Linked DNA regions of Oreochromis niloticus. Each later gene encodes a partner of the first gene's protein in a complex. Links are inferred from orthologs where the notes say so. Each region holds a gene or a part of one and is shown in the gene's direction. Other genes may lie near its edges.

The links.
Region 2: tmem231 (region 1) and tmem216 share a complex: the UniProt entries of both Homo sapiens proteins name them as parts of the tectonic-like complex. The link is inferred for Oreochromis niloticus from reciprocal best matches to the Homo sapiens genes TMEM231 and TMEM216.
Region 3: tmem231 (region 1) and cep290 share a complex: the UniProt entries of both Homo sapiens proteins name them as parts of the tectonic-like complex. The link is inferred for Oreochromis niloticus from reciprocal best matches to the Homo sapiens genes TMEM231 and CEP290.
Region 4: tmem231 (region 1) and ahi1 share a complex: the UniProt entries of both Homo sapiens proteins name them as parts of the tectonic-like complex. The link is inferred for Oreochromis niloticus from reciprocal best matches to the Homo sapiens genes TMEM231 and AHI1.

Annotation. Positions count from the first base shown.
Region 1 is NC_031972.2:4,918,190-4,925,400, forward strand, and holds the start of tmem231 (transmembrane protein 231), read left to right. Parts: upstream 1-4,189; 5' UTR 4,190-4,479; coding exon 4,480-4,618; intron 4,619-5,545; coding exon 5,546-5,712; intron 5,713-7,211. UniProt on the Homo sapiens protein: Transmembrane component of the tectonic-like complex, a complex localized at the transition zone of primary cilia and acting as a barrier that prevents diffusion of transmembrane proteins between the cilia and plasma membranes.
Region 2 is NC_031966.2:8,580,810-8,588,601, reverse strand, and holds tmem216 (transmembrane protein 216), read left to right. Parts: upstream 1-4,436; 5' UTR 4,437-4,513; coding exon 4,514-4,523; intron 4,524-5,541; coding exon 5,542-5,555; intron 5,556-5,641; coding exon 5,642-5,735; intron 5,736-6,379; coding exon 6,380-6,472; intron 6,473-6,812; coding exon 6,813-7,014; intron 7,015-7,107; coding exon 7,108-7,123; 3' UTR 7,124-7,256; downstream 7,257-7,792. Other genes in the region: tmed9 (transmembrane emp24 domain-containing protein 9), read right to left, coding at 1,143-1,292, 1,807-1,953, 2,062-2,187, 2,781-2,881, 3,693-3,882. UniProt on the Homo sapiens protein: Part of the tectonic-like complex which is required for tissue-specific ciliogenesis and may regulate ciliary membrane composition.
Region 3 is NC_031972.2:41,787,537-41,795,844, forward strand, and holds the start of cep290 (centrosomal protein of 290 kDa), read left to right. Parts: upstream 1-5,272; 5' UTR 5,273-5,301; coding exon 5,302-5,415; intron 5,416-5,890; coding exon 5,891-5,968; intron 5,969-6,179; coding exon 6,180-6,249; intron 6,250-6,338; coding exon 6,339-6,385; intron 6,386-6,910; coding exon 6,911-7,045; intron 7,046-7,371; coding exon 7,372-7,425; intron 7,426-7,594; coding exon 7,595-7,615; intron 7,616-8,147; coding exon 8,148-8,294; intron 8,295-8,308. Other genes in the region: tmtc3 (transmembrane and TPR repeat-containing protein 3), read right to left, coding at 333-432, 3,574-3,792, 3,942-4,130. UniProt on the Homo sapiens protein: Involved in early and late steps in cilia formation. Its association with CCP110 is required for inhibition of primary cilia formation by CCP110.
Region 4 is NC_031983.2:20,286,964-20,294,225, forward strand, and holds the start of ahi1 (jouberin), read left to right. Parts: upstream 1-4,176; 5' UTR 4,177-4,349; exon of another isoform or gene 4,350-4,472; intron 4,473-4,650; 5' UTR 4,651-4,719; coding exon 4,720-4,729; intron 4,730-5,509; coding exon 5,510-5,628; intron 5,629-5,887; coding exon 5,888-6,468; intron 6,469-6,557; coding exon 6,558-6,646; intron 6,647-6,746; coding exon 6,747-6,933; intron 6,934-7,146; coding exon 7,147-7,262. Other genes in the region: vacuolar protein 8, read right to left, coding at 1,555-1,674, 1,952-2,071, 2,226-2,345, 2,983-3,102, 3,326-3,515. UniProt on the Homo sapiens protein: Involved in vesicle trafficking and required for ciliogenesis, formation of primary non-motile cilium, and recruitment of RAB8A to the basal body of primary cilium.

The DNA of each region.
Region 1 (7,211 bases):
GGTCATGATATCGGTTTGGTTATCTGGTGAGAGGGAAACATGAAGATGAAACCAGGAGATGTCCTTACTGAATCATCAGAGCTGAACAGGTGATGGAGAAACAGGTTTACCTTTTAGGTGACATGAATGAGTTGAAGGGAAGTTATGAACTGTTTCTGAGAGACAAATAACACCAGCATCCTTTTCTACGTAGCTGACAGCTGGTAACTGTGGAGGGGCGGGTCTAGCAAAGTGTTGCCAGGGGGCCAGGTAGGGCATTAACAGGGAAAGGGGGGCACAAGGAAATACTTTTCTTTATTATTCTCATTTAAAATGTCTCGCTTTTAAAAAAATAATTATCTGAGTCTTACAACAAACAATTGATAGATTGATACATATATACCATCAGAACAGTGTACATCACTGTCACAACAGCGTTTGTTTTCATTCAAAGGCTTTATGATTTTTCCTATAATGGTGGGCCGGTCTCTAGTCAAAATGCCTGGGACGATTTTTTTGTCCCAGTCCAGGTCTGTATGCAGCTCATCTGCAGTCTGGTGTTACCTACATCTTCCTATTCAGAAGGCAGAATTTCCAAGTTCTGAGTACAATCAAAAGCACCACGACTGCAGTTTTTGTGTTGGATGTAAAAAGCAGGCTAGAATCATGGCGGCGGTCAACGACGGTCCAGGCGTGGGATTTCTCTGGTGGAAATGTGCACATTATTTTTTCCTTTCTATTGGTAGGTGGCACAGTGCACTTGTGGCAAGTAAGCAAGCTAGAAGACTGAAGCAACACATTAACAAGAGAATTCTGAGTAAAACCAAAGTTACTTTCCCTAGTAACTAGTTACTTTGAAAGTAACGAGTAACTTGAAGTAACTGAGTTACTTTTTTAGAGAAGTAACTAGTAATGTAACTAAGTTACTAATTTAAAGTAACTTACCCAACACTGACAGTTACACACTATATAGAACAACTTTATAGAATTATATCTGTTTGCAGATGTTGGCAGCTATCAGCTATTTTGAAACCAAAAAAAGACTCTTTTTATCCATAACAAGAACTCCATAAGAGTAAATGAACTGTACAACAGAAAACGCAAATGCTATTTATGGTCTCCTCACAACAATGATAAGAAAAATGAACTGGGCCAATATGGCATGTTTGTTAATACAGGGATACACATGTTAATGTGATCTCTGGTCTCCCACTCAGAGACACAGGTCTCCGAGTGTCCAGCATTCAGACGGCTACCCGAGGACACTCTTCATGTGAGAGAAAATCTGCTCACACAGATATGTAGAGCCAAATACTGTCAATAAGGCCTCTGCAATGTTCTCAAGACAGTTAAACTTGTCAGGTAGTGATGTCCAGCAGGTGAAAATGCAAGCTCCATGAACACACACAGCTGTGGATTCCAGCTGTGTCTGTATTTCTGCAAACTTTGACCCCACAGAGTCGAGGTTTTTATTTCAATCAGCTGCATTTTGATGTCGCATTACCTGGCATTAACTCAGCCAGTTAATGTGAGACAAATCCAGCTGCTCATTAAAGCTTTCTGGTTTGATCAGAAAAAAAAACATTGGTCCATACACCTGAAAGTCCCAAAAACGCATTGTGAATTCTGTCTCGAGTCTACGGATGTATCTGTGTATTTCCGCTGTGCTGATGCTGCACTGAGCGGGCAGCTCCTGAAGCATTTGAAGTGTCGGAATGTGGAAATTTCAACATCGCTTGAAAAAACTGCCAGCTAGCAACGTCCCTCTCACCGGTAGGCTAAGTTATTTTTAGCCAATTACAAGTTGAATCTGGTAGTTGGGGTTGTTAGCTAAGATACCATCATTAAGAAGCGGCACAATTAATGTGTCTATGCGAGCTAATTTGTGATGTGCGCCACTGGCCCGGCCATTTATTTTTTTAATGCACCTTCTCAGATTAATTCACTGCGTGTCGTGCCCAGGGCTGGACTGGGACAAAAAATCGGCCCGGGCATTTTGACTAGAGACCGGCCCACCAGGTATTATAGGAAAAGCCATAAAGCCTTTGAATGAAAACAAACGCTTTTGTGACAGTGATGTACAGTCTTGTTGGTATATGTATGATTTCTATACATTCTATACATCTGATAAAAACTTTGGTTGTAAGATTCAGATAATTATTTATTAAAAGCGAGACATTTTAAATGTGAATAAGAAAGAAAAGTATTTCTTTGTGCCCCCCTTTCCCTGTTAATGCCCTACCTGGCCCCCCTGCCAAAGCTTTGCTAGACCCGCCCCTGCACAGTTACCAGCTGTCAGCTACTTAGAAAAGGATCCTGGTGTTATTTGTCTCTCAGAAACAGTTCATAACTTCCCTTCAACTCATTCATGTCACCTAAAAGGTAAACCTGTTTCTCCATCACCTGTTCAGCTCTGATGATTCAGTAAGGACATCTCCTGGTTTCATCTTCATGTTTCCCTCTCACCACATATCCAAACCGATATCATGACCAGCAGCTTTTACAGCTGTGGCTCCAGCAAACATCAGCTGATACTAGAAATTAATATTAAATAAATTCGAACAACAGCTGATCAAGCTTAAACGTACCGCTGTTGTTTAGCGCGAAATCCGCTGGTTTCCTCTTTCTGGCGCAAAGTGGGCGATAAACAAACAAGAGAGAAAAGCCGATCAGCTGATCATTGATCAGTTTCATGATTGAAGTAGCAACAGGAGAGAGAGGGGAGAGAATGAGAGAAGAAGAGGCAGCTGACAGCGTAAAGACAGAAACACTCCGGCTTTGTGTCTTTTTCATCCTAGCTGAAGTCCGGGACAAACTGTGTTCCTTTTCAGCTGAATACGAGACGATTCCGTTTTTTAGGGGAAAGTTGGCAACTCTACTAACCTTATGAATAAAATAAAGTTCACTATCAGTAACATCATAGCACACACCCAGCTGTATAGAAAATCCGTCATGCTAGCTAGTACGCAGTACGAGTTATTGTAACTGACTGTAAAAAGTCAGCACAACGAAAATAAACTCCACCTAAACTTGTTTTATATCTGACCCAGATAGACTGCAGGTCATAACTTCTTACCTGAAGTTAAGTTCACCTGACACTCGGTCTCTCCTCCTCCTGCCTCCCCTTTCCCTCATCCACCCGCTGGCCTCTGTGGAAGCTCCGCCATAGCCACCACCAAACAACTGACTTATTTTTATACATCGGCCAGCATCTGGCCAATCCACCACCTTTCATTGTTTCATTGTACAAGAAAAAAAAAAAAAATCATCGGCCCGGGCAAATGCCCGATATACCTGATGGCCAGTCCAGCTATGGTCGTGCCAACAGTCAACCCTTCGCGCCCAGGGTTGCTGACCCCTGGTCTAGACAGTGAGATAGCAAAATTGTTTCTGTAATTTTACACATTAATTTTTTACAATTTAAGCCCAGAGTCATTAAGACTGGTGTTACTTTTTCACTAACTACATTAGAAAAACGTTATCATGTAACTATTTGGGCTATAAATGTGCAGTTAAACCTCTGGTCAATGACAATAAGCAGAGTTTCACTTGTCTGGCCCACCTATCTGTATGTGGGCCACAATGTAAAATTTGAGTTTGACATCCGTGTTAATGCATAATGAACCCATCCAACCATCCATAAATAAAAATAAAATAAATAATAATAATAGTAACAAACACAAAATTATTTTTAATTTTGATTAATTTTCTATTGAGTATATTTATAATTATTTACATATCTTGTAGCAACTAATGTCTTGTTTTAAGATGAGAACTACCACACAAAATTTCGTTATGTGACTGCATAGTGAAAAATAAAGAATATCTGGATTGGCATGCAAAACAGTCTTAAAGGGATGCAAAATGAACAGAAAGTAATAAAAATAAATAAATAACAACAGACATGTTCGCAGACATGTATTTGCGTCTGTTTTCAGTTCGCAACTTAAAACAGACGCAAAAGTGGCCTGAAACAGATGCAAATTGACCAGATGCAAAACGACCGAGACGCAAAGAGACCCAAAACAACGTGAAAGAAAAACTAAAAGATAATCAGAGACCCAAAGTATCCTCAAATTACAAGAAATAAATGCAAAGTAAGCACAAAAACATGGAATCCCTGCATGCAAAGCTTTTCTGCTTCTGTTTTTTTTTTCTGTTTTGTGTGACCTCTGCTAAGTGTGCTCACCGTGCTGCTATCGCGTGAATGCAGCACAAACGCGAACACTGGCAGCCATGGCAACCGCCAGACGCTAAGCTAGGAAGGAACATGGCGCGGTACTTGGTGCTAACATAAATAGCACGTTAATTCACTGTGTTTTTTGACCAATGCCCTACTAGAGTCACTTCATTACGGAAGCGGTTGGATGGCTAAGGGATAATTTATGCTTCCTTAGCATTTTATTGTCGGTTTGCCCACGCTGGTCCTCCGAGGGTTTTTCCGTCGGTTAGCATCTTTGCTATCTGGAAGATTGAGCTGTTTATACCTCCAGCACACTTATGGCTTCCTATGAGGTGTACTCTCACCCGGCTTTGATTCGGTACAAAACCAGCGTGTGCACGAAAGCCACGCTGTTCCTGGTTGTGGTTCTGTGCCTCACCTACATCCCGCCTCTGCTGGTTGCTTACAGGAGCCAAGGTACATTTACGGTCCAGAAACTCTACATGCGCTCTAAAAACTACACCCTTTAGCAGCCACGCATGCCACGCTAATTGAAGCAAAATATTTGTTTGCACGTCACTCATGGAATAGCACCAGGGTTGCGCCACGCAATGGGATCTCCATAGTTGTAAATAATGTTAGCTGGGAAGGCAAAATCCTGTGGCACTTCCTCTATTCTCCCAAGTCTGCTAGGTATCAAAGCATGGCATAAGCCATGAAGTTTTAAATTAAACTGATAAAACTCCAGATTGAAGCTTTTATACACGTATTAAGATTCATTCATCAGACTTCATTTATCTCCGTCAGGAATCACAGGCTCCTGGTTTCTCTTATTGCTCTTGTATGACTGTGAAACATTAAAACGCTTAATTCATGTCTGCTTTAAAAAGAAAACACACAGAAAGCATTGCGCGTGGTTGTTTGATTGCATCACAGGCAGTAATTATTTTCATGTTTATTATTACAACTGATAAACAAGTGGTTGGTGGTGTCCATGTGTAAAATGACAACAGAGTTGAAAACAGAATTCGTCAGTAACATCATCAAGCTGCTTCTGTTTTCTAAATGAGAATAATTTAAGAAGGGTAATTTATTATTATTTTCACTGACTTTGAATACAGCATGGTTGTTGGAGCCAGACCGGTTGATTTGGGTGTTTCAGAAACTGCTGATTTACTGGAGTTTAGTGGGATTTCCCCACACAATAATCTCAACTCCAGTCTCTAGACCTCCACGGAGTGGTTCACCAATTTATTTATTTTTTTGAAATGGGTGTTAGTCTGATTTATTTTGCATATGTTTGTAATTACACCAAGTAGGTAGTTGTAGAAAACTGAACAGTTTGAGTCATAATAAGTGATACAAATATGTGCTCGCTGTTTTCAAACTTGTTTTTAATTTTAGGTTTTTGGATAAAAAGGAGCACTTATGAGGAACAGCCAGTTGTGAGATTCCAGTACCAGACTCTGCTTGTTGCAGCAACCAGTACTCAGGGAGAATATGTCGCCTGGAGCACCTTCCCCCAACTTAACAACATGCTAGGAGCCAACCTCCGGATTCCTGCAGTCACTGTAAGAATGTGTTCATAGCACCCTACTCAAATCAGTTCTCTGGTAACAAACTACAGCAGAATTGATAGAAGATATAGAATAATCCTTTAATTGTCCTACAAGGGGAAATTTGGGTGTAACAGCAGCAAGAAAGACACATACAAATAAACAGTACACAAGACACAGAACAGAAACATACACAATTTTTACATATTTACATCAAGTTGAATGGTTACCAAAAACAGAGTACTGTACAGTTATTAAATTAAATTAAATTAAATTAAATACAGATAAGAGGCAAACCCTGGTTATAGTGTGAATCGGTTGATAAAATAGTGCAAGTTACTTCGCTGATGTAAACCTCTATGTTTGTTGGGAGCAGTTTTGATTGTACAGTCTGACAGCTGCAGGGAGGAAAGACCTGCGGACCATGATATTTAGGTAATGAACTTAAGCACTGTGTTCACAGTTGATTGGTTAGCAGGTGACTGGATTGGATTAGATGAGATTAGACAGGTGATTAGTGGTAATGCTAAAATCATAATTTAGAAGTAAGAAACTTTGCCGTGGCATGAGCTTCATTTTCGTGCTCATTCTGTGTATGTGTGAATTGTGCTTTTCACTTTAATAAGTGTGCAGAAAATACCCTAAAAGGTTATTCTGAAGAAAAAAGCAGAAACAGCAGAAATGTAACCAGTTAGTTAGTGCGTCAGTGTTTTTCATTAGTAGCACCCAAGCATAGGGCTGCTCAATTAATCGAATTTTAATCTCGATTACGATCTGGGCTTTCAACGATCATTAAAAATGACTGAGCCGATTATTAGCACCTCCCTCGTGCTTTACTCTTGCGCTGCTCCGTGTGGCAAATCGAGCGCACCTCTCTGCGTTTTGAACACGCGTCACAACAATTAAGAGGACCCGAGGGAAGCTCTGAAAGCTAAGCAGAAGTTATTTGGAGAGGAGAGGATAACGGCTGCTGAAGAAAGAATGCCGTTGGTTGAAAAGAGAGATAAAACGACTTCAGTGGTGTGGAAACATTATGGGTTCGCGGAGTCAGACGTGGATCAAATATTATGCAGTATTTTGAAGTTCACTAAACATAGATGTTTACATTTTTCTTTTATTTTTTATATTGCAAACATTTCCACTGTAATCAGTATTTGCACACTATTTTATACTATTTTTTGACAATCTTTAAAGCCATTATTCAATACATTGTTATTGTTAAGTAAATATCGTCCAATAATCGAGATCTCAATTTCAGTGAAAATAATTGTGATTATCTCCAAAAGTTGAATCTGTTCATCTGGACGTAGCGTTTTGTGGGAGAAACGTTTCGTCACTCATCCAAGTGACTTCTTCAGTCTCAGCTGACTGCAGGTTTCCCTAAACCTTATAAACAGTACATTTGCATAATGACTGAAACCAGCCCACTGAAGGAACAATGGGCTGTGAGGTCAGTTCCTTAATCATAATTATGCAAATACCCATGACCATTGATCAACAATCACTGACCAAAA
Region 2 (7,792 bases), on another chromosome or scaffold:
TTGTGACTTTATGAGCTGTGTTTTGGCGGGAATATTACAAGAATGTGATTTAACCACACCATCCTTCAAACCAACTGAACTTTATTCTGAGTGCAATCACAGAGTTTCACGTGGACGCTAAAAAAAATAATAACAAGCACCTCTCCCGACCCCAAAATATTTCACCATCCGATTTAAAGCCCGCCTACAGGAACATTTCTAAAAACTGAAAACACGATCACCCGTCCTTTATTGTTATAAAGAAACTAAATCTCATCTGAAAACAGAAAAGTTTTGAACTGAGATCAGTGACCATCACCCCGAACGGTCGACCAAAGATATCACATTTCCTTGAAAATCGCCCGAAGCCTCGAACGAGCCCCTGAACTGAAGCAGCTCGAGGAGTCTTTCAGTAAATCAGTTCTGGGACTGATTACAGTGAGCAAAGCCTGCTTCAGATGTTCTCAAAAGCAGCAGACTCGAAACACAGAGGACAGCTGCAGCGACGCCGACCGGCACAAAAAACGCGTACAAACATCCAGAACCTGAAAGTAATGTGATGAAGTGAAACATCGAAACAACTCTCGGTGTTTCAGTAAAATAAAATAAGACAGTTTCAGATCTTTAATCACGTGAGCGGCAGCGTTAAAATCACACCCCACTTTTAGTCAGCGTTGCAAAAAAAAAGAGAAAACTTTTCCCGTCCCTGGTAACGAGTACGCAAACACTGAGATCACACGTCGTCTCAGTAACCATCAGATCTGTGGATTAACGACTGAATCCAGAAGATCATTTCTGAGCTCAGATCACACATATACGTGACTATCGTGTCCCGCAGACGTGCATCTTTATGGGCCAGTAACACATGCTGCGAGCGAGGGGGAGAAAATCTAAAATCGCTCCGCCGCCGGGCGCTGTAATAAATATGGAGGAGAGGGTGGGTCACACATTCCCTGATTGGTCAGGTTAAACGCTCGTCACGATCACGGCCGGTGACGAAAACAGTAACAACAAAAATCTTAAACATGTTTTTCAAGCCAAATCCTGCAGCTGGGTCTTTTCTGCCGCCCGCCAGCAACGCCGCCGCCACTCAGTACTGCATCCATCAGTAGACACCACACACACACACACACACATACACACACACACCCTCTGACTCCAGATTACACCAGCTTCTTGGCCTCGAAGAAGCTCTTCAGGTGTCTCATCTGCCAGATACCGATGGCCACCAGGATCAGGGTCTGGACGATGGACCACCAGAGGACCCGCTGGTTGGTGCTCTCGCTGGTCTGACGGAAACGCTCCTCACGGTACTGAGGGAAAAACAGACGGCAGGGGGCGCCCATTAAACCTGAGCGCTGGCATTTTTGACAGCTATGACAATACACAGTGTCTGAACATTCTCAGAATTGAGTTTGTAGCAAAAATAATAAAAACTAAACGTTTTAAACATAAACCTCATATTTGAATTAAATAAATGTAGACTTCACTGACAGAAAAAGAACATGGGTTCCTGCTTTTCTACTTTGGTGACTTTTAGTCACAATAAAACTAAATAACCAGCTGAGGCAGGAATAGAAGAACATCAGGAGGTAAAACAGCTGTTTTCATGAATGGAGTCTGGTGGAGAGTACAGGCTTTCATGTTGTCAGGAAACTGGTGCTGACAGCAGGTAAAGTGGTGAAAATGTTCTGTTAAACTGATTGTTTTGGGCGTGTACATAATATCAAAGAGCCTGAGCGATGAGCGGCTCTGATTCACGTTCAGAGTCTTCATGTGCTTTTGACATACACAAAAAAAGTGCAGAAGTGAGTGTTTCTGACTGACCCGCTGGTAGTTCTGCTCCTTCTGGATCTGGTCCACCTGCTCCACCAGCTGTCGGACTCTCAGCTGCAGCTCCGTCAGTTTGTCCTTGGCAGCGATCTCAGCATAGTTGTTGGCGTGTTCACCCACCTGGATGTCCAGGTGAACGCGCTGCAACACATCACAAAAATCACAAACCGCGGTTATGAACGTCACGGATCAGAACAGAAAGGAATAAACTGCTGAAGCTCTCGTTTGTATGTCTGAGCGTCTCCTCACCAGCATGCCGCCGGCAAACAGCGAGAACTTGGAGGAGTTGGAGTGAAGGCAGATCTGATGTTCTCCAGGTGTGTGCGACGTGAAGGTGAAGCGTCCTTCTGAACCGTACTGTCGAGACAGAATCACCTGCAGGGAACAAACAAAACATCTTCCACATCAAGCAGAAGTCTCAGCATTTGTACTCTAACTCCTGAGAGCTTAAAGCTGCAGCCTGCTCTGAACACTCAGGTTATTACACTTTTTTTCTTCTGCATCGCTGTAATCTCACAAAGCAAGGAAGTCCCACCCACCTGTTGCTCAAAGCTTTGGCAGCCAATCAGAACAAGTTGGCTTAAAGGCGGAGGAGCTAATACATCTTGATTCAGAGTATAAGCTGAAGGAGGAACATTTTAAACTGAACTACTGTGAATCCTGCCAAGCTCCTCGAGCATAGTCCAGGCGTAAAAATACTGCATATGTCAAAATATATAAGCTACTCTGAGCTGAAACCCACAGCGGATGGATCCACACATTTGATTTATTTTGTTCCAGGTACCCTTCCTGACGCAATCCTCCCCATTTATCTGAGCTTGTGACTTCCTGAGTCTGGGTTTTTGTCTCTTCCTGGTCTTGATCTGAGGACCTTTCACATATGAGGCATATGTGGCTGTACAGTTGAGCGTTAACCACGACAGCATGACGCCACATAGACTCTTTAAGTATATGAACTTTATGCTCACCTTGTCATCAGGATCTTTGACTTCCACGAACATGCCGAGACCCTGAGTGGCCGGCAGGTACTCCGCCGTCTGCTTATCATACAGCTGAGTCCGATAGTTACCTGCACAGACACACACACACAGCTTGATTAGTGAGCAGTTTGAATGAATATGGGTTCGAACTGAAACCAACATCAGTTTATCAACTTCAGGTTGAATATGTCCACTTTTTTCTTTATGTTTTGAACTTTATGTTTCAGTTAACAAAAAACAAATACAGTAAATGCAACAGGAACAGAATTCGCTTTGTTTTCTTTAGAAAACACCTTCACCATCACAACCTGAAGTTAACCGCAGACTCTCAGTTCACTGCTTTACTCTGTCTGCAGATGCATTAGTGAGAGATGCACTTGAAATGATCCCGAATTAACCTTTAATCTGATGAAAATTGTGCAGATTAAGATGCTGAAAGAAAAGCTTCTTTGAACGGACAGATTTCTTGCCAGACTGATAGTATGTACCATGTGCTAGTTTCTCTCATTCAAACAGAGGAGGGCTGGTTAACTTTGAGATAAACTTACCTTTAATCTAACCTGGATTAAATTATAGAGGAGGATTCAACGGGCCAAAGGATCCACTTTAAACTTAGTGTTGATGGATTATTATTTCAACAGCTTTCTTTAATGGAAAAATACCTTTATGAAAACTTTAATCACACTTTAAAGTTTAGATTTTTGCGGGGATTTTCCTTACTATAAAATCAAATCATGCTATCGTGAACTTTTTTTTTAATAATATTTATTTTAATTAAGTTTAGATTTTTTTGAAAAAGTGCACACATATTTGAAGACACGACACACTAAACTTGAGCTGTTAGCTGCTCGGCTAACTAGCTGCTAGCATTATCCCACAGATCCCCCACCCCCCTCTCACCGATAATCATGGTCTCGTCCGGAATCTCCTCGATGAAGCATTTCTTCTCGGTCTCTCCGATGTGAAAGTACAGTGCGGAGACGAAGCTGCACAAAACGTTCAGGAGTAAAACTGAAAACAGACACGGCTGCATCCTGATCCGGAGCGACGCCATCTTCCTGCCGGGACACACGGAACTCACACTGAGCATGCGCCTGTCACAGCAGTGCCACGTAAACCCTTGCGGCACTCTGGCCAATCGGCTAACCGCAGGAGGATACTGGGTGTCGTAGTTCTAAACGCTCTGGGCTTCTAAAATGAATGATAAATAATTTTATCATGATTAATCATTTATTTTTAGTTTATGTACTTAAAAAAATACTCAAAATGTGCGTTTATGAGACATTGTTTAAAAAAAAACAAGAGGCTTCTGAACTCTTTGCCCCCTCTCTCTCACGGACAATAACCATATCCAACTTCTAAATATTACTTGTCATGTTGTATGTTGTTGCTGGGGACTGTTTTATTGCACTGGAGTTATATTTACACTTATTATTATTTTTATTCACGCAATTTCATTGTTTTCTGACAATGACAATAAATATTTGAATTGAATTGAATTTTATTTAGCAAAGGAAAACAAATATTTAATTTCATAAGTAAAACTGAGTTGTTATTAAAATGCTTTGATGTATGCCTGTTATTATTATTTTGTATTACTGTAAGACCACGAAAACAATCTCGTGGTCTTTTACTGTGAAAGACCAAAGCGGGAAAAAGCCTTTTTCACACATGCGTAGACCAAATCAAACGGTATCCACGGCAACAGGGCTGAAGCGGACATGGCGCCCGGTGAGTGTGAGGTTTTTGTTGTTGATAAATCGGTAAAGGTGCAGGGTTAAAGTTTTAAATATTTCATAGGTTAAAGTCAGTGGAGAGTTTACTGGTCGAATAAAACTGTATATGGTTATTTATTTTTGAGCAGGCTGAGCGTGGTCAGAGCAGCGAACACGTCAGGTTTCTGTCAGCTCATCAAACCACAGCAGTCAGAGAGACGCTAACATTACTGATAAAGAACCGCAGCACATGTTTTTACACAGAAACAGCAGCTGCGTTTCCTTATTTACTCTCTTCAGCTCAGTTAGTCACATTGAAAAGACTGAAAACAAAGATGCTAAAGCCTAAAAAACAACACATTAAACAGGAAGTTTAAAAATATCAGTTTTAGTCTGACTTTTAAGAGTCCACAGATCTCAGACACTCAGAGCCTGACAACATGACCACGGGAAGCTGCTGACAGCGTATGGATGTTAAAATTCACAGATGTACGTAGGTTCCTGTCCCTGGAAAGCTCTAAAGGTCAAAACCATACTCTTAAAGTGCACTCTGAAGCAGCTGAATCAGCAGTGACTCAGTCTGAACCCTCACAGCGGCACTCTGAATGACCTGCAGACGTTCTAGCGAAGCTTTGTTAAGACAAGAGAACAAAGAAATTTGAAAATTGCTATAATTCAAAAGTGATGACATAGATGCATGAACGACAATCCCCAGTTCAGACATCCTGGAGCGCAAAGCTGCTTTATAAAGAATAGAATAATAAAAGAATATAAATAAATTATTAAATGCAGTAAAAACAATCACAGACATTAGAAACGTCAAAGATATGCCAAAAGAGACAGAAGAAAGAAAGCACACCTGCAAATCTGTGTGTACAACGAAATCACTTAAATAAATATTTAAACATTTTATATCATTAATAATATTATCAAGATCACCAATACAATCAGCAGGTTAATCAGTAATCTGATCTGTCCTGTTTGTGGTCTGTAACTCACTCTTCTGCTTCCTGTTTCCACTTTTTTTCCTGCAGGGAGCCAACCAATCGTATCCTTCACCTGACTCTAACGCAGAGCTGCAGGTCATGTGACTTTGTGCCTGCCGTTGTTTCTCCTTGACCTCCTCTTCCTCAGCTCTCGTCCGCTCCTCTGCAGGTGCTGTTCTACCTGAACAGCTGGTACTTTGCTGCCTTCTACCTGGCCGAGGTCCTCATGTTCATCTATAAAGGTGTGTGAGAGCATCCTCCTCTACCTCCTCTTTCTCCTGCAGCGCAGAACTCAGAGACAGAGTTTGAGAAATGGTGCCGTTCACGCAGACGATTAAATGGGACAGAGAATTGGGCTTTTTGACCGAGCGCTGCGAGCTCGAGCTGAACTGGGACTGAGTTTGAGGGGCACTTGATTTACCGTCGAAGCTTCCAAGCTCAGAAAGTGCACAGTCATAGCCCGGCTACGACTGTGCCGGGCTACAGTCGGAGAGAAATCGGAGTCCTTCAGGAGGTCTGCTGATGTACGCCTAACCCACAAAAGTCTGAACTCAGTCCAATGTGCTTTTATTTTTTAAGATCGAGTCACATTTAACTTAACATTTTATTTTTACATTAAAAAAGCTTAATATTCCTGTTTTTGTTCAGCTGCAGCCTGAAACTCACTTTGTTAAGAAGTCATACGTGGGTCCATCGTTGCTGTAGAACTTTATTTAAGCAGGTTAAATCCAATTAACAGCCTCCACAGTTTAAACTGGAGGAGAGGATTATGATGGTGATGAAGATGATGGTGTTTGTTAAGATGGAGAGGCTGATGATGATGGGGTCATATTGATGTTGATGGTGATGATGATGGTGATGGCGTTCTGATGTCTGCTCTCTGCAGGAGTTTTGTTGCCGTACCCGTCAGATAACCTGGTTCTGGACGTCGTGCTGCTGCTGCTTTTCCTCGCTCTTGAGATTCTGCGGATCTTTTACGGTGAGCAAAGTCACGTCTCATTTTGAATAAATCTTTATTTATAACAGGAATGGTCTTTCATGTCCTTTAAGAAGTCAGATAAGATGATTTTATCTGTCTTGAGTTCATGCTCTGCTGCTCCTGCCACCTCCTATTTAATTCAATTCAATTTAATTCAATTTTATTTATATAGCACCAAATCACAACAACAGTCGCCTCAGACATTTATGTGTCTGACAACAAAGTGCTTCACAAAAACATGTCGTGTACACACACACACATACACACACACACACACACACACACACACACACACAACACGCACGTCACAAACTGAGTGTCAAACTGCGTCTCCATCCAGGCTGGAAGGGAAACCTGTGCGAGCGCTCTCTGGCTTCCTGCATGTCGCTCTTTGTCCTGCTCCCCTGCACCGCGCTCGCCGTGTACTACCTTCTGCTGCAGACTTTCGTCCTACGCCTCGAGTTCCTGCTCAACGCCGTGCTGCTCTGCTTCTACGGCCTCGAGTTCCTGCTCGGGCTCATCTCCATATCCGCCTTCTCCAGGTGATGGCGTCCTCATGTGGGCTTTTTGGGTCGGTACAAATCTTAGTCGTTTCCTTAAATACTAAAGTTCATACTTTACGTCTTCTTCCGCAGGGCCAAAGTGTACTGAGGAGCAAACGCCACAGGACGAGTCAGCAGAGGTTTCTGTACACACTGTAAATATCTGCCATGTTTGATCAAGTTTTTTACCTTCACGAAAATGTTTCTGTAAATAAACGTTCTGATTTCTACGTCACAATGAATTAATCTCCAGTGTTTCCTTTTAAAAGTTTTTCAATCAGAATGAAGTTTAAACTGAAGTATCTTTTATATACAGTCTATAAACTATTAGCCTTTACAACAAAGGTTTAGTTAGCCAGCTGGTATCTTCATCACGCTCCACCGACACACCGATCCTCTGGTCCTTGTGCTCCCTCTGGATCTCCCGCACCTCCTCCGTCAGCTGCAGCTCCGTCTCACCACCTCCGCAGCTCCCGGTGGCCACGTGGATGTCCGCGTGAACTGTCTGCAACAGGAAGTCGAAGCATTTCTCAGCTTCTTACTGAGATGCTCATGAATGTGTTAAGTAAAACACGCCATCTGGGCGACCTTTAAAGCTAATTTACCATTTTATACTCTTCAAGTCTTTTCGATTTATTTTACACAGTTAAAACAGAAGCTGACCAATAATGCCTTAAAGACGGGAACACTTCTTTCCAGTTTCAGAAGAGAAGAAAAGCTGACAGGTGTGTTTTGTTGTGTTAACTAATTATTGTGGAGGAACCACAGTGAATTTGTG
Region 3 (8,308 bases), about 37 Mb from region 1:
ATGACTATAAGTATTAAGTAACACTGACTGAACATTCCATATTAATTACCCTCAAAGGGAAGTGTTTATTTATATCAAAACACTGGTGGAAAAAAGATGGAAGTTAACACCTGAATACCCAGGTGTTTGATCTTATCCAATCTGTTGCCACAACACTTCCACTGCCCCTGTCTTGATTTTTTGTATATGTATTTGCTTATTTTGGTAATTAAAATAATGATATAATCTTAACGGAGACCAGCATGTTGAAAATAAGTTCATACTTAACGACCCAGCAGATTTTGCACATGAGACAGAAATAAATAAAGGCCAGGGAAGAACATTATACTTACCAATGGAATGGTCTGGTCCAGTTGACTTTGTATACGCCAGGAAAGCAGCCAGAAGAAAGATTGATGAAAGAAGTTCAGCTCTGCCAACCACACCAGTGACCTGATGATAAACAGTCAATCAACACAGAGACCCAACCATAAAGATTTGGAAAGATGATTTCTTAAAATATACTTAAATGTTCATTGTTTGGTAATTCAAGTTGAAATGTAGATAAAAAAAAGTGTCAGAAATAAGTTTGTGAAATCATTCAGAAAAGTTTACTTTTCCTATTAGGAGGTGCTATTCTATGCCCATGCTACTTTACCTCGACTCTGAGTCTGAAGCCACCACCACATGACCTCCATGCCTCAGACAACATATCTAATAACTCTGAGAACATTACACACGTGTCTTCGACTGGCACGAACCAGAGCTCATGGTCTAAGGCTCTAAAAATAAAAATAAAAAAAAAAAGCTCTGTTCAGCGCATATCAACTGATGGGCACGCAATTATATGTAACGTAGTCTCTCTGACAGCAACGTCTGTCATTTAAGTACATGATGACTGCCCTCATGCGGAAGAAATATCATTATCAAGTTCTTAGAAAGAGACATACTCTAAGAACATAAAGGTCCCACAAATAGTTCTACAAAGCACTCACTAAAAGAAGAGGGGATTGTTTACACTTTAAGAATTCAGCTGGCATCATGAGAGGGCTGCAGCTTCCAATAAATAGGGATTGCCATGAAGATTCAAAACAAGCACAGGCATTGTGCTCTGACTGACCTATTTGTCAACTGGTGGGAGAAGGAAAAAATGCTGGCAGCATTCAAGAGCCCCCTAAAAATGTCTGGTCAGTGCAATGTTACTTCAACAGAATCTTAGAAAGACTGATTACAGTTGGCTCAATTTCCTGAAAATACTCGAACTACAAATTTCACTTTCCATCTATACAGAGTTGGCAACTCCTTTCACCCTAATGCCATGTTTGACCCAAGATATTGGTGTGGTGTACACTAAATAATTTGTATCTAAAGATGTTTGAAGATATAAAAAAAACAAAAAAAACTGAAGTCCTCATTCAAAAAGACAGATCACCAAAAAAAAAAAAAAAAAAAACTACTGAAAAAGACATGGGACACACAGGCACTCTTTGTATAAGCTTATAATGCAGGGACCTTCAGTGCTTGAAGCATAATTCAAAAAACAAATGACCCGTTCAGTGAGAGATTCCAGACGGTGATAACATGAAGGGCATTTGCTGGACTAACACTAAAGGCTCATTTGTGAGGCAAATTGTTTCCATTCAAGAAGTCTGAAAGACTGTGCATAGATTAGAGAACATGATGAGGAAGATAGGAACAGTGATGCATGCTGTGTAACAGTAGCACTCCACACCCAAGAAGCAGAATGTTTCCTTTGTTTTTTTACTCTGGTCAAGGCCTGTCTGGTCATCAGTTCAGCTATGTTCAAAAGGATGAAATACAAGTCCTAATTGGGGAAGAGGCTTTTCAGACAGTAGAATGAGATAAAGTTCAAATAAACAATAAGCTAAAGGGTTTTGATTTCCTATTAAGTTCAATAAGCTTTGTGTTACAGACAACATCCATGATAAGCTATAATAACAATCTTTATATTTCAAAAAGAAAAAAAATATGAAGCCATAATTTTAAAGCATTTAAAGAATGTTTTTACTGTTGCCATTTAAGGCTGCATTAACAGAGGTTTAATGTAACGTGTAGCACAAGTAAGCTAATATCATGAGCATGAACAAAAGGGTTTCTTTGAATAAGGTGGAGTCCCTTCTTGAGCAAGCCATAACAGGCAAGATGTGACAATTTAACTGCTGTTTATTGTCTGGTTCCCTCTAACGCAATTTTAACAATCACTGAAACGCATTCTGATTTGATGCCACAGTGGACATGTTGGCGCAAAGCTAAGTTTCTGTCCTACACCGCTTAGCAAAGACACAAAGTCTTTAAATGTAAACACTGTTTCTATATTAAAGTCTCTTTAACACCTTATTGCACATGTAGATTTCAAACTTCAAAAGATCTTTGTCCCCTTCCTAATTTATTTTAATGTTTGTGACTTCATTCAGATTTGTATTAGATAACCTAAATAAATAAAACATTCCGCTATTAAATTAAAAACTCATTTATTAAGGGAAAAAGTTATCTAAACCTATCTGCCTCTATGTGAAAAAGAAATTCCCCCCCCCAAAATCTAATAATTTCTGGTACCGCCATTGTAGCAAGTGTTTGCAATAACTGGTCTTTCCCATCTAAAGGAATTTTGGCCCATTCTTCTATGCAGAATCCTTTTAATTCAGCCACATTTACAGTGCGGTGAAAATACTTCTACAGCACTATCAAGTGAATTGCTCAGCTTAAGTTGGAATATTGCAGGGCTTCTCACGTATTTTACAAAGCCACCTATCTTGTTTTAAAGGAAGAGTGAAGGTGTGGCTGACACTACTGCTTGTTTGGTTTGCGATACTAGAGATCAAGTGGGACATCCAGTGGTTATAATTTCTGTGGAAAACCCTGTGCTTAGCTAGGGCAGCTTAGTTGGCTATGTTACCTCATTGCAAGAAGGACCTAGCTTCCAGTTCAGTGTTAGCACATTGCATGCTTGTATAAGTTCTCTCCAGATACCCTGGCTGGAGCCCACTGTCCAAAGTGCTGCAACTCGGTACCAAAGACAAGCATGGGTCAGTTTAACTGGCAATTCTAAATTGGCCAGAAGTATCTATTTAAACTAGAATGGTTGTGTATCTGTGTTATCCCTGCAACAGATTTGTGAACGATCCATGATAGATCGTCCATGATAGCCAAGTGGAATGCTTAGTTATGCAAACCCAGACAGATGTCCCTAAAATTTAAAAAAGTGACCTTGTATTCTATCTCATTTTTCCTAAAACTTTGCCTAACATATGCTCATGGAAATGGTTAAAATAGAACATGAGAATTTTGAGGAAGTCAGGAGTCGGATTGCAGATGGGACTCAAGGACCACCTGACCAATGTTTAGCATTTGTCTATAATTCCCAGTGGGTCTGTCCCATCCGGTGGAGCATAACTTGATGAGATTACTTTAATTTAGAAAGTGAAAGATAAATTGGGAGTATTTCCAGTTACTTCTCTCACTAATTTACACTTTTTCATGGACTTGTACACGAACATAAGTCTCAATTAGGCCAAATTTAATTTAATAAAACACATTTTTTAACATTTGCTAGCCAAACAAATGTACACTTACAGCTTCAGTGTGAATGGGATGCACAGCAAACAGTAATGCTGCCACCAAGCTGGAAGTCTTGTCCAGGAACAATCGGCACACTCGCAGGAAAAGCACACATACGACAGCATGTAAAATGACATTGAGCAGGTGGTAGGAAGCTGCACTGAGTTCACTGAAGAGGTAGTTCAGTCGAAAGGTGAGTACTGTCAGGGGTCTGTAAGATTTATGGCTGCGCTCCTGTAGTGGGACACATGTTGGAGGTTTATTTCTCTCTAAATTACTTTGAGTAACAACAAATGACAAAAAGACAAATTAGATCCGTAATATAAAATTCTAAAGAGAAATTACATAACCTCGTATTGAGTTTGATTCTTCTTAAAGCTTACCTCAGCCATGGGTGTTCCCCAGAAATCATTGAGAAAAAGGTTGCGGATTGGGGTTGATGGGCGCAGATCCTTGTTGTCAAGGATTGCTGAGACATCATCAAACACAAACCCGCATGACAAGCTGTTCCAGTAACACCCCACCACCAGTCCACTCAAAAGTAAAATCTCCTTCCATGACACAACAGCCATTGCTGACCAAAGCCTTCATTGATCACTGTGCAGGACAACAAAAGATTTAGTATTATTACAATTTTGATGGCATGACGATTTGTGAAATAGACACTTATAAGTTCAAACTTATTTCATCTTTGGACACATATTTTCACTAATAGTGCAACTTTGTGATGTACTGTGTATGTAAACAAGTCTTCTTAGCCCGATTCCTCATCACAGCACCCAGTAAATTAAATGCCATGCCAGCATTACTTCTTAGAGTGTGCCTCCTCGGTTTGTTGATAAAGCTACAGATTCAGATGTAAATGGAAATATAACAGCTAAATTATAGAACGAATAAAAGTACAAGTGACTAAATTTGTGCTTATTTGCTGAAAAACCGAATAGTTTGGTTACCGGTACAGTGACAGCTGGCAGCAAAAGCTATGGAGGGCGTACTCCAACAGCACTGTCGTGGCCAGCTAATTTTACTCGAGAGGATTAGCTACGAGAAATCGAACACCAGGTGTTTGATAAATGAAATTCAGTCGGCATTGTGACCAATCGATAATGGTTACATAATGGCACAAAAAGCCCAAAACAGCATGTAATGACAATTTCAGACCCGCCGTAACTGCAACATAACATTAGCTAACGATGAAGCTAAATTAGCGGCTACAGCTAACTACCTTGTCATCTGTGTTTAGGCTGAATAAGATGGGAAGAGAAGTAGCTTAGGTCTTTCTCACCGTGTCTATAACAGGGCTGATAGTTGAGCTCATAAAACACACTTTAGCTGACAAAACATAGACGGAATACACAGTTCATCAAGCGGCGTTCCATATGTGCTAAGTAGCTTTGGCGAATACCCACTATCACTTCCGGTGCAGAGGTGACCGCGCAAGTTGAACCTAGCGAGATTTGATGCTTTTTGTGGACTAACTGACGTGAATATGGACAGTACCGAGTTGCAAAACTGCGACGATACACTTTAATAACTTTATATTCACCGTCTCGCTACGGTTTGGTTAAGTTTCCGGGAACCTTACCGATTTTTTTGTAGTTTTCTTCTGGAGTAGCTTCATTAGCTAACTGTTGTTGTCAGCCGTAACCTAGCAGCCAATGCGTCTCTATTCTATAACCGTCAATTTAAGTGCCACATCGATGTTATATCAGTTCCTATTTAGCTAAGTCTTTAAAACACATCATGGCCAAGATGCCTGCAGCTCTTAATTGGGATAAAGTGTTGAGAATTGACCCAGAAACCCTCAATGAACGCGACAAAGACGAAGTGGATAAGGTCTTCGATATGTTAGTTTTGGTAATTGCCCGTCGATAACATTATTAATAACATTATGTTATTTACTTCTGGAGGTTGGCCAACAAGCAATGTTTTATATTTTTTAATTTACAAATTCTATCAGCTCAGTGATTGTCTATCTTTGATGGCCGATGGAATAAAGACAGACTATAGTCCTGCTTATATGAGACTATTATTTTGAGTATAGCAATCACTGATTGACCACTGATTGGTCAACAATTATGTACTTATGTATGCTACATTTTTCATGCCTTCGGTGACCATTGGATACAACACATAACAATCTAACTTATGCTGAAAGCTCTTGATGAATTTTCCGCATAAGCCTGAGTGCTGCGATTGAACCTTGAGCAGTCTTTGTACACCTCGTCATATTACACGTATAAATATAGATTGTTTTGGTCTAGGCAGTTGTGTCGTACAAGCATTGGTATTATGAGGTTGAATGACTCTACATTTGACTTTTCCCACGCAGACAGAAGAATGGGGTGTGAAGGATAAAGCTCCAGAGAACATTATTCAAGTCCTCAGGGTGTTTCAGGCCCTGCTGAAGGTGTTCAGTTTTATTGTTTTTATATTCTGATCTCTCCCACGCACATCTGTGACCCACCCTACCAACATCTGTAATGTATTTTTAGGAAAGAAGAATATTCATAAAGGAGTCACACTACTGACCTTGGTGCTTTTACGTGTTTATGCATGTTGAAATATTTCCTTTGAAATAATATTTGTTTCTCAGCGTCTTCTCTACGTTTCTGTGTTAGATTAGAGATCGAGAACTTTCTGTTGCCTTCGACTTTATTGATGACATTGGTGTAAAACATGCTAGAAAAGGTTAGTATCATATAAAGTTTGTTAGACATTTTTTCTTTTTTGTCTGTCAGGTTAATAAACAACATCTGCATTATTTTTCTGTGTTTTAGAAAAAGAACTCCTGGCTAAGGTGTCACAGTTGGAACAAGAACAGAAGGTAAATAAAATCCAGTTTTTAAATATATATAAAAAAACGAACTGTATATGTTATTGCTTACACATTATGTATTGGGCATTTTTGTTGATCTGCTGAACTGTTATTTCTTCACATAGTTGAACTCAGCCATCATTATAAATGTTTATGTGGTTTGATATCATTTTCTATGCTTATTTACTTCCTTTCAGCAGTGCCAACTCTTTCAGCCAATCATTGAGCGTAACCCTCCTTATGAAGGGATTTGCTGTAGTGACCCCTAAGAAGATTACAGCTAATTCCTTGCGCACTCACAGAAATTGCTTATCGTTTTGAATTGTTAACCATTTTCAATTTTCCCAGGGTTGTGTATTGTCACTACTTATATTCTGGTTGTTCTTATGCCTTAAAAAACGTGAACAGAACGTTGTTTAACAACTTGGTCATGGAAATGAACACATATGAACAGATGGAGGTAATAAGACACTAAGAGATTTCTTTGTGGGGGTTGTTTGGGTGTGCATCTTGTCTCCTGTTTGTACTACTCAGCTCCACAGCACTGTGCAGAACACCGGCTTTATTAGAGATCAGATTTGGCACCTCGAGACCCAGTTGGAGCAAAGGGAGAATGAGGTGACCCAGTTAAAGAAAGAAATGGGGAAGGAAAAGAAAACCAACGAGGAGGTATGAGCACTTTACCTGCCATAGGTAGTCTTGCAAATGTTAGCTCATTAGTTTGCACATGCTATGTTGACAAAGCGCTGGTAAAACAACATGCTGGTGAAAAGATTGAATGTTACGTTAAACTGAAAATATTTATGTATGCACATATTTATATACAAAAACAACCAGTACAAGAATACGATACAAATGGTTTGACTCATCTGTTGCTTTGCTAATCTTGTTTGACATTGTTTGCTTCCAGCTTTCCATCGTTTTCTGATGGTTACAAGGCAACAGCAGAATGTTTTCGATGTTTCTACATTGTAAAGTTGGTTTTGTCTTTCTAGTTGGTTGTGCAAGTAGAGAAGGCTGAGGAAGTCATCAAGAAGCTGAAAAGAGAGGTATTTGATAGTGGGCATCACACTCGTCATTTCTTTTCATCCCTTGTTTAGTTACGATCCATTCGTACTTTATTTAAAAGTTTTGTGTACTCATGCTTTACCTTCATTTTTTACTCATTATCTCCTTTTAATCTATTTTTTTTCTGTCTCCATCTGTTCCGTGGTGTAGTTAGAAAAACTTAAGAGGAAGGTAAGACACAAAGGTAGTGTAGTTAAGTAAACTAAGTTTTTGGTTATGTGAAATGAGGTATAGTTTGTAGGTTTTGTAGCCATATAAAGGTGTACATGAGGGTTTTTTTGCATCACAGCTTTTTATAAATGTACATACAAAAAGTGAGTAGGATGATGATAAGAAGTATATCATATGCAATATGCAATCCTTAACATAATGGAATTTTAGCAGAATTTTGGGCTTTTAAAGGGTTTAAGTTTTGATTTTTGATTTTTGTGCACAAAGTGAACTTTACTAACCTGATCGATTATAAATTATAACACATATTTTATATTTAATATACATAAGGTGACACCTTCTAGACTGCGTGTTTTCTTATAAACTATCATAGAAAAATCCATCGCTGTTCAAAGTATACTGAAAAGCAGGAAAGGCTTGTATTTCAGGGGCTTTGAAAGTCAATTTAGTGTTTCCATATTTGTGAGTGAGCAGAGGAAATTTTTGGGGGTTCATTTTCTGAACTGACGTCTGTGTTCCTGCATCACATCAGAATGAGCAGCTCCAGCAGGATGTGGACTTTTATCGCGGAGAGCTGGACCAGAAAGAGCCTATGTCTTCAAAAGACGAGAATGCTGAGACTCAGAGGAAGCTCAACCTTGCCAACCGCCAGCTTTACCAGTGCTTAGATGACCTGCAGGTACTGAAAATCTG
Region 4 (7,262 bases), on another chromosome or scaffold:
TCTGTTATTAATCTCTGTCTCTCTTCCACAGCATGTCTTTATCCTATTTTCCTTCTCTCACCCCAACCGGTCGCAGCAGATGGCCGCCCCTCCCTGAGCCTGGTTCTGCCGGAGGTTTCTTCCTGTTAAAAGGGAGTTTTTCCTTCCCACTGTCGCCAAAGTGCTTGCTCATAGGGGGTCATATGATTGTTGGGTTTTTCTCTGTATGTATTATTGTGCGATCTACTGTACAATATAAAGCGCCTTGAGGCGACTTCTGTTGCGATTTGGCGCTATATAAATAAAATTGAATTGAATTGAACAAGCTTCTAGGCCTAACACCACGGCAAATTAACTCCTTGTTAGTGATCATGATTGACTACAATTCTTCTTTATGCCTGCATAAGGAGCATTTGTTTGAGAGCACATGTTGGATTGACCAATACTCAGAACAATGGAAACTCCAGGGAACTCAGTGAAGAACAAACAATAAGAACTGTTACACAAGTTAGGAAGGTCTCTTGGAACCACTTCTAAACAACTGCAGGTTTAAAGAGCATTACTTTAAACAACTGTACATAAGTACAAGTTATTAGGATTTGTCACCACTTTGCCCATCTCTGAAAAAAAAAAAAGAAGACCTAAACCATCACCCTCAGAGGAGAAAAAATTGGTTAGGATGTTTATTCAGCAACCCAGGAACCACCAAGGCTCAAGACTGTCTGAAAACCGTAGGAACATCAGCATCACTGTTCACATGAAGTTTTACACCAGTTGGGCTGAGAGGGTGCTGACCAAGAAAGAGAATACCACAAAGACAAGAGGTGTGCTTAGAGCAATAAAGGTGAGGCTATCAACTGAACTGTCAAGCATGGTGGTGGTATCATCATACTCTGGGGCTGTTTTGCTTCCAGTGGTACTGGTACATTGCACAAAGTTGGTGGAATACTAAAGAAGGGAGGAATACCTTCAAATTCACCTAAAATTAACAACTAGATGATTGAAACTTTGAGTCAGTTGGGTCTTCCAAAGGGACAATGATCTCAAAGACACATCAAAACTGGTTTTTGGAATGGATAAAGCAGGCTAAGATTAAGGTTCTGGAGTGGGATTCCCAAACCTCAACCCTATTTAAAAACAAAAACAAACAAACAAATAAAAACTCAACTACCTCTCTTGGCAGAATTGGTAAAATATTCATCTAGAATTATTGCAGAAGCTTGTTTATGGTTACTAAAAACATCTGGTTGAGGTGCAACTTACTAAAGGGAATTTAACAAAACATTAGTAGCCCCACTAATGTAAGGATGTGTGTATATCTGAGCCTGCATCTATACTTTTGACCCTGGGTCGATTAGACAAAATCCAAAATAAATTCAAAACTGTGCACAGACTTCTTGTTTTGTTTTGTTTTTTTAAAACTCAATAAATATGTTTACTGCACAATCATTCCTAGAAAAAGAACAGTTCAAAGTAATCCCTAAATTACCATGGCATTGATACCAATGATGAGTGTATCTAAACTTCTAACCACAACTGTAAGTGCACAGTGACATTCAAATGAAATGGTCCCACCTGACTGCGTGAGGTGTAATAGAGCCCAAGTTGCATTCCGTTGGACCTTTGGATCAAAAGATTTTGCTAAAGCCAAGAGTGGTATGATTCCATCGACCATCAAAGAATCTCGATTTGACTCTGGAAAGAAAGATGAAATAGCAACTATGCACGCAGGGACAATTTTGGAGTGCTAGTGGCCCAAAACAAATTAGCAGAATTTCAGCAAGACAGAGGAGAGGTCATTTCAAGAAGCACATGGAACAAAATAACTACTTTTCTCATAAGTCTTCAGTTCTCTAGCCATTCTCAAAGTCCTGCCATTTATTTTGCAATACATAATAAGTTTTTAAAATTAAGTGTTTGTACTTTCTAAACCGTGTCGAAAAATACTTTAAAAATGAAGGTCTGTACAAACCTGAGGAGGCCAACATGGCAACACAGGCACAGGAGTGACACTGAGCAGTGGGATCACCTGACCGGAACAACTCAATTATGGGCACCAGCATCCCCATTTCTATCACCAATTCTTTACACACTGAAATCAAATTTTATGGATGGCAAATCATAAATAAGCCATTTGTTCCAAAAGACCACGAGCTTTTAGAATCATACTATCAAAATCACTAAAATTCTGGATTAATTAAAAAAAATTATAATAATGTAAATATCTTACTATTATTATCTCTTACCATTATTCTTTACTAACAGATTTACAAGGGCGAGAGAGACAGTCTTTTGAACATCAAGATCAGATGATAAAAGTAGAGCCATGATGGGCTCCATGAAGGCATCTGGTAATGGACAGTTCACTGTAACACACAAAGAAGGCAAAAGTAACACACTTTGAAACTTAAGTCACATTTTTTGCTGTCAGAATGAACAATGTTCGAGTTGAGACCATTTTATAGTAGTTGTATGTCAGTCTTACTTGCAGAAGTTAAATGTTACAAATTTGAATTACATACTTGTAGCTGATTATAAATTCAAAAGATATATCCCTCATAAGTTGTGCTATAACCTCAAGCATCTAAACACAGCAATCTGTCAACTGCCACCAATACACAAAACACCTGGTCACCCATTTATATACTACAGAAAACTGTCTATGCTGTACTGAAAGAAGAAGCCTCAGCTAATATGCACCATTGGGCTCTTGGTTGGCAGATTATAATAAAGCATACTGTGAATTTCACAGTAAAATCCTCTTATTCTTCCTTCTTTGTAACACATGGGTCCATAAGTGGGCGTTTTATCTGCCAGCCTTGGGGGAAAAAAAAATACAGTTGGAAATTTGCATACTGGTCACACCCGTTAGAGAAAATATCTCTGCAGTAACTGATAGAGGCCTATGATGAAACCTGAAGTGCAAACAACAGCTGATCATCTGGAAGTTACTGCTATCAGGAATACTGTCAGATGAAACAAAAACGTGAAATCTTTACTCACGATGATGACTGAGGTGTAGATAATACATGGCTGAAGTCATTTGTAGATCAGTGTTTTCTGAGGTTGCAAGTTTGTTCAGTGTTTGCAGACTTTCCTGGCTGAGAAGTTGAGTTTCGTTGTCTGGGAGGGGGGAAAGAGATTAATTGAATTGATCATATAAACTTGTGTACATCTTTGAAGAGTAATAGCACATGCAGTATGAAAGTTTAAAGAAGTTGTTGTCTAAACGTTTACTTTGATGCTTTTCATTTTTCTAAATAACACAGAGGCCCTCTGCCTCGCTTTTTGTTCCTCTACAGCGATTTCCATAAAAAAAAAATATGCATGGCTGCAATTTTCCTACCACAGTTGAGGCGTAAGGAAGGCAAATCAAAAGCCTTCCTTCTCTCGGATGAAATCCTAAAGCAGTTGCACCGTCCAATCTCTCTGAAAGCTTCCTTTATCTTGAGCTCCAGCTCTCTCCAAGCGCTCCTCAAATGATCCGCAAATTCCTTCAACAACCGCGAGCAGGTGTCACAAAACCCTGAAGCCATGACTGCATCTTGTACAAGGTCCTGACACCTGTCTATTTTACACAACCTGCACGTAGACACGCCTACTGCTGTGTCACGTGACTGCAAGGTAAATTTAGACTCTCGAAAGTATCTTGCTCTTCTAGCTTTAAGGTTTTTGCATCTCTACACAACTTTAAAAGTAAAACTTATCGTGACACTTAATAAAAATTAATATTTAAATATTTTAGGCGTTTCACGGCTGTGCAAGTTTGTGGAATTCTGTAGCCTTCATATTGGGTTGGTAGTATTTTCGTTTGCGTTTCTTTTGTTCTAGGCTACAAATTTATTGTATTCTTTCTTTGTGTGCAAGCCTTTGTGACTGTGATGTAGAACTGTATGATATTCTATGTGAACTGTGTAAAGTGTATATCAGCTTACAAAAAAGTGCAACACGGGTAAAAACATTACATTACTTGAATAAATTAATAGGATACTTCTTCTCTGGCCATTGTATTAATGCAATAACAGATTTTTCTATATTTAAGATTATGATAAACATCAGGCTTTTAGAGGTAGACATAAAATAAGAAGAAAGTGAAGCTAATCATAACAGAAAAAACATGTAAATATATCTCTGTTATGAAATTCTGTCCTCAGCTTTGATTGGTTAATTTGTTGTTTTTGTATGTACGTCAGATTACGTTTCACCGGCTCCGCCTTTCTTTTTCAGCTTTGTTGACTTGGAAACCGTCGAAGCGTTGTTGTTAAAGATGGAGGACAGCACAATCACTGCAGAGTAGATACATGCGCTAACCCTCGGCCAACTCTTCTGCTTCTTATACATACTTTTACGGACTGCTACTGTGGAGCGAGGTTTGTTTTAATACTCAGACTGTTCGTTAAAGCTCCTAAATATTATCTTACCAAATGTAGTAACCCTACAAAGTCAGTGAGCTATCAGAAGCATTTAGCAAGCTAGCTGCTAAAGTGGCTAAGGTTAGTGGTTCACACAAACTGTACTTTTTCCTATACTCTGATTTCAGCAAATTAAACACCATGGGAGACTTAATACGGTTTTGTTTTACTAGAGTGCTAAACGCTTGGCTAGCAAAACATAGCTAACCCAGTAGAGATTTTGTTGTGCAACTTTAACGTCGTTATCCTGTATTTTTAGAATGAGAGTCTTCAGTTTTGGATTATTCTCATTTTGCGCTCGGAAAGAGAAACATCACGCTGTCTAAGAATGCCAGCAGGTAAGTTTCCTGCTGTTCCCTCCTCACTCCAATGGTGGAAGGTTCTTTAAATTAAAGTAGCAATGCCGTTTTTTATCGGCTGCTCCCATTTGGGGTCGCCACAGTACATCATCTGCCTGCATCTCTCCTTATCCCTCTGCATTTCCTCCTTCACTACATTCCCGGATCTTTTCTGTAGTCTTTCTCTTTTCCTCGTGTTTGGTAACTTTATATTTAACATATGTCTAATCTATCCGCTATCCCCTCCTCTGGACATGCCCAAACCCCCTCGGTCTTGTTTCGTTAACTTCGGTAGCGTTTCCAAACTCTTAAACCGGAGCTGTCCCTATGATGTACTCATTTTTAATCCTGTCCATTCTGGTCACTCCCTTAACATTGTTAACATCTTCAACTCCATCACCAGCTCCAGCTCAGATTCCTGTCTTTTTCTTGGTGCCACCATCTCCAAACCATACATCATATTAGGTCTCACTAAAATGTTGCAAACCTTCCCTGTCACGTTGGTGACAGGGTGTCCTTCTTTCCTCTCATATTTATCTCCACCCACTCCACCATGCCTGCACTCTCTTCTTCACCTCACTTGTCCCCTGTCTGTTGCATTGCTACTCTTACTTCTCTTACTTAGTGTGATGCAGTAGTGTAAAAATGCAGTTACAAGTTTTGCAAAATTTTTTTATCAATCTACAGAAGTGTTATCAACAACGTGTAGTTAATCTTATTTATGTTATAAAGTCTAATCTGCATTGTCATGTAATCTATATAAAATGTTCCCTTTTATAGGTGAGAGTGAAGACCGGGCAAAAACCCGGGAAAGATTTAATGAAGTCTTCAAGAAGTACACAGAATCTGAGAAGAAAACGTTGAAAAAGAAAAGCACTGAAACACCGGAGACTATTGTGGTATGTGTTTCTTGTGTTCTATTGATAATTTTACATCAGATGTTGGCAAAAACATATAGAACTTGCAGGACATGTCTTAAAACTATTTCTGAATAGTCCAGAATCCTTGTGGATTCTGCATTTTATGTGAACAAGGCTGTCATGATGCCCCTCTTCCAAAACATACAACATGTCGGACATATTTTAATTGCGGAAGTTTAATAAATAACAAAATAAAAAGATTGTAAGTACTGACACCTCCTTCCCTTTTCCTCTTTAGCTTCAGAATCTAAAAAAAAATCTCAACCTTGAGAAGGACACAGAAGACAATGAGACCATCCTCCAGAACACATATGACCCAGAAGAGGGCAGCCCTCGCTACACAAAGAATAAAAGAAGGGAGAGAGAAATTTCAGAGAAGGTTAATTTTAACAACAATAGAAACCAAGAGGAGATTAAAACATCAAAATCTAAAAGAAAAAGTAAGAGGGACCTTCCCTCTCCTCCTACGCCCGAGGACATCAGAAGTCACATCCAAGAAGATGCAAATGCATCAAGACCTGAAATTCCATTGGATCCAGATGATTCTGTAGGTGGAAAGGCCCCAAAGCAGAAAAATAAAAAGGGAAAAAGCAAAGGAGATACAGAGGCTAAAGAAGCAAGCCAGGTGGAGGACACAGAAGATAACCTATTGCATGAATACCAGCAAAAGATAGTAAAGGAGGAGCAGAGGACTTCAAGGAGGACAAGGGTCAAAGGAGAAGATGAGAGTGCTGTCTCGCAAAGTGTTACGCTTAGCAATGATGTGGGGAAGAAGAAAAAGAAAAAGATGAAATCTGTAGTCACAGATTCAGATCCAGGGTGTGTATAACTATTAGTGTACTATGGAGTTATAATTAGTGATAAGGCAACAGTGTTTGATTTCTTTCTACTTCTTTTTTTGCCTCCAGGGATCAAGATGAAGATACAGACCTGGATGCTGAAGTGGAAAATGAAACAGAATCCAAGGGAAAGAAGAAAAAGAAGAAGAAAAAACATGGTGATTGCACGATAATTCTCAGGATTCATCAAATTCCAGTTAAAGGTGTATAAAGGTGTTGATGGTAATCCATTTCATATTTTGTTTTCTCCCCTTGTAGTTGTCAAAGAACAGAGTGAAGCGGAGTCAGAAGCACCTCAGAAACCAGTTTTTGATGACAACCTTGTTCTTGGAGTGTACATTCACAGAACAGACCGCCTCAAGACCGACTTGATGATTTCACACCCCATGGTGAAGATCCACGTCGTTGATGAAGCCACAGGGCAATATGTGAAGAAAGAAGACTGGTGAGACATTTCTGCGATTAAGTTTAATGTTGTGTTTCAATTTCTGGGCACATTTTTTATTTAGATATTTTTACCTTAAAATAATTGGACCATAGTTATTTGTTTTTATTTGGACCATAGTTATTTTTATTTATAAGCCACTTAACAGTGCCAAAACCTTGGAATTATAACACATTTTGCCTTCAGTTCACATTTTGTTTTTCTTTTTTGTAGTCATCGCCCCGTATCCTCATTTTATGAGCAGGAAAACGTTGACCACGTTCTCCCCATCATGACCCAGCCTTATGACTTCAAGAAGAACAAATCAGTCATCCCTGAGTGGCAGGAGC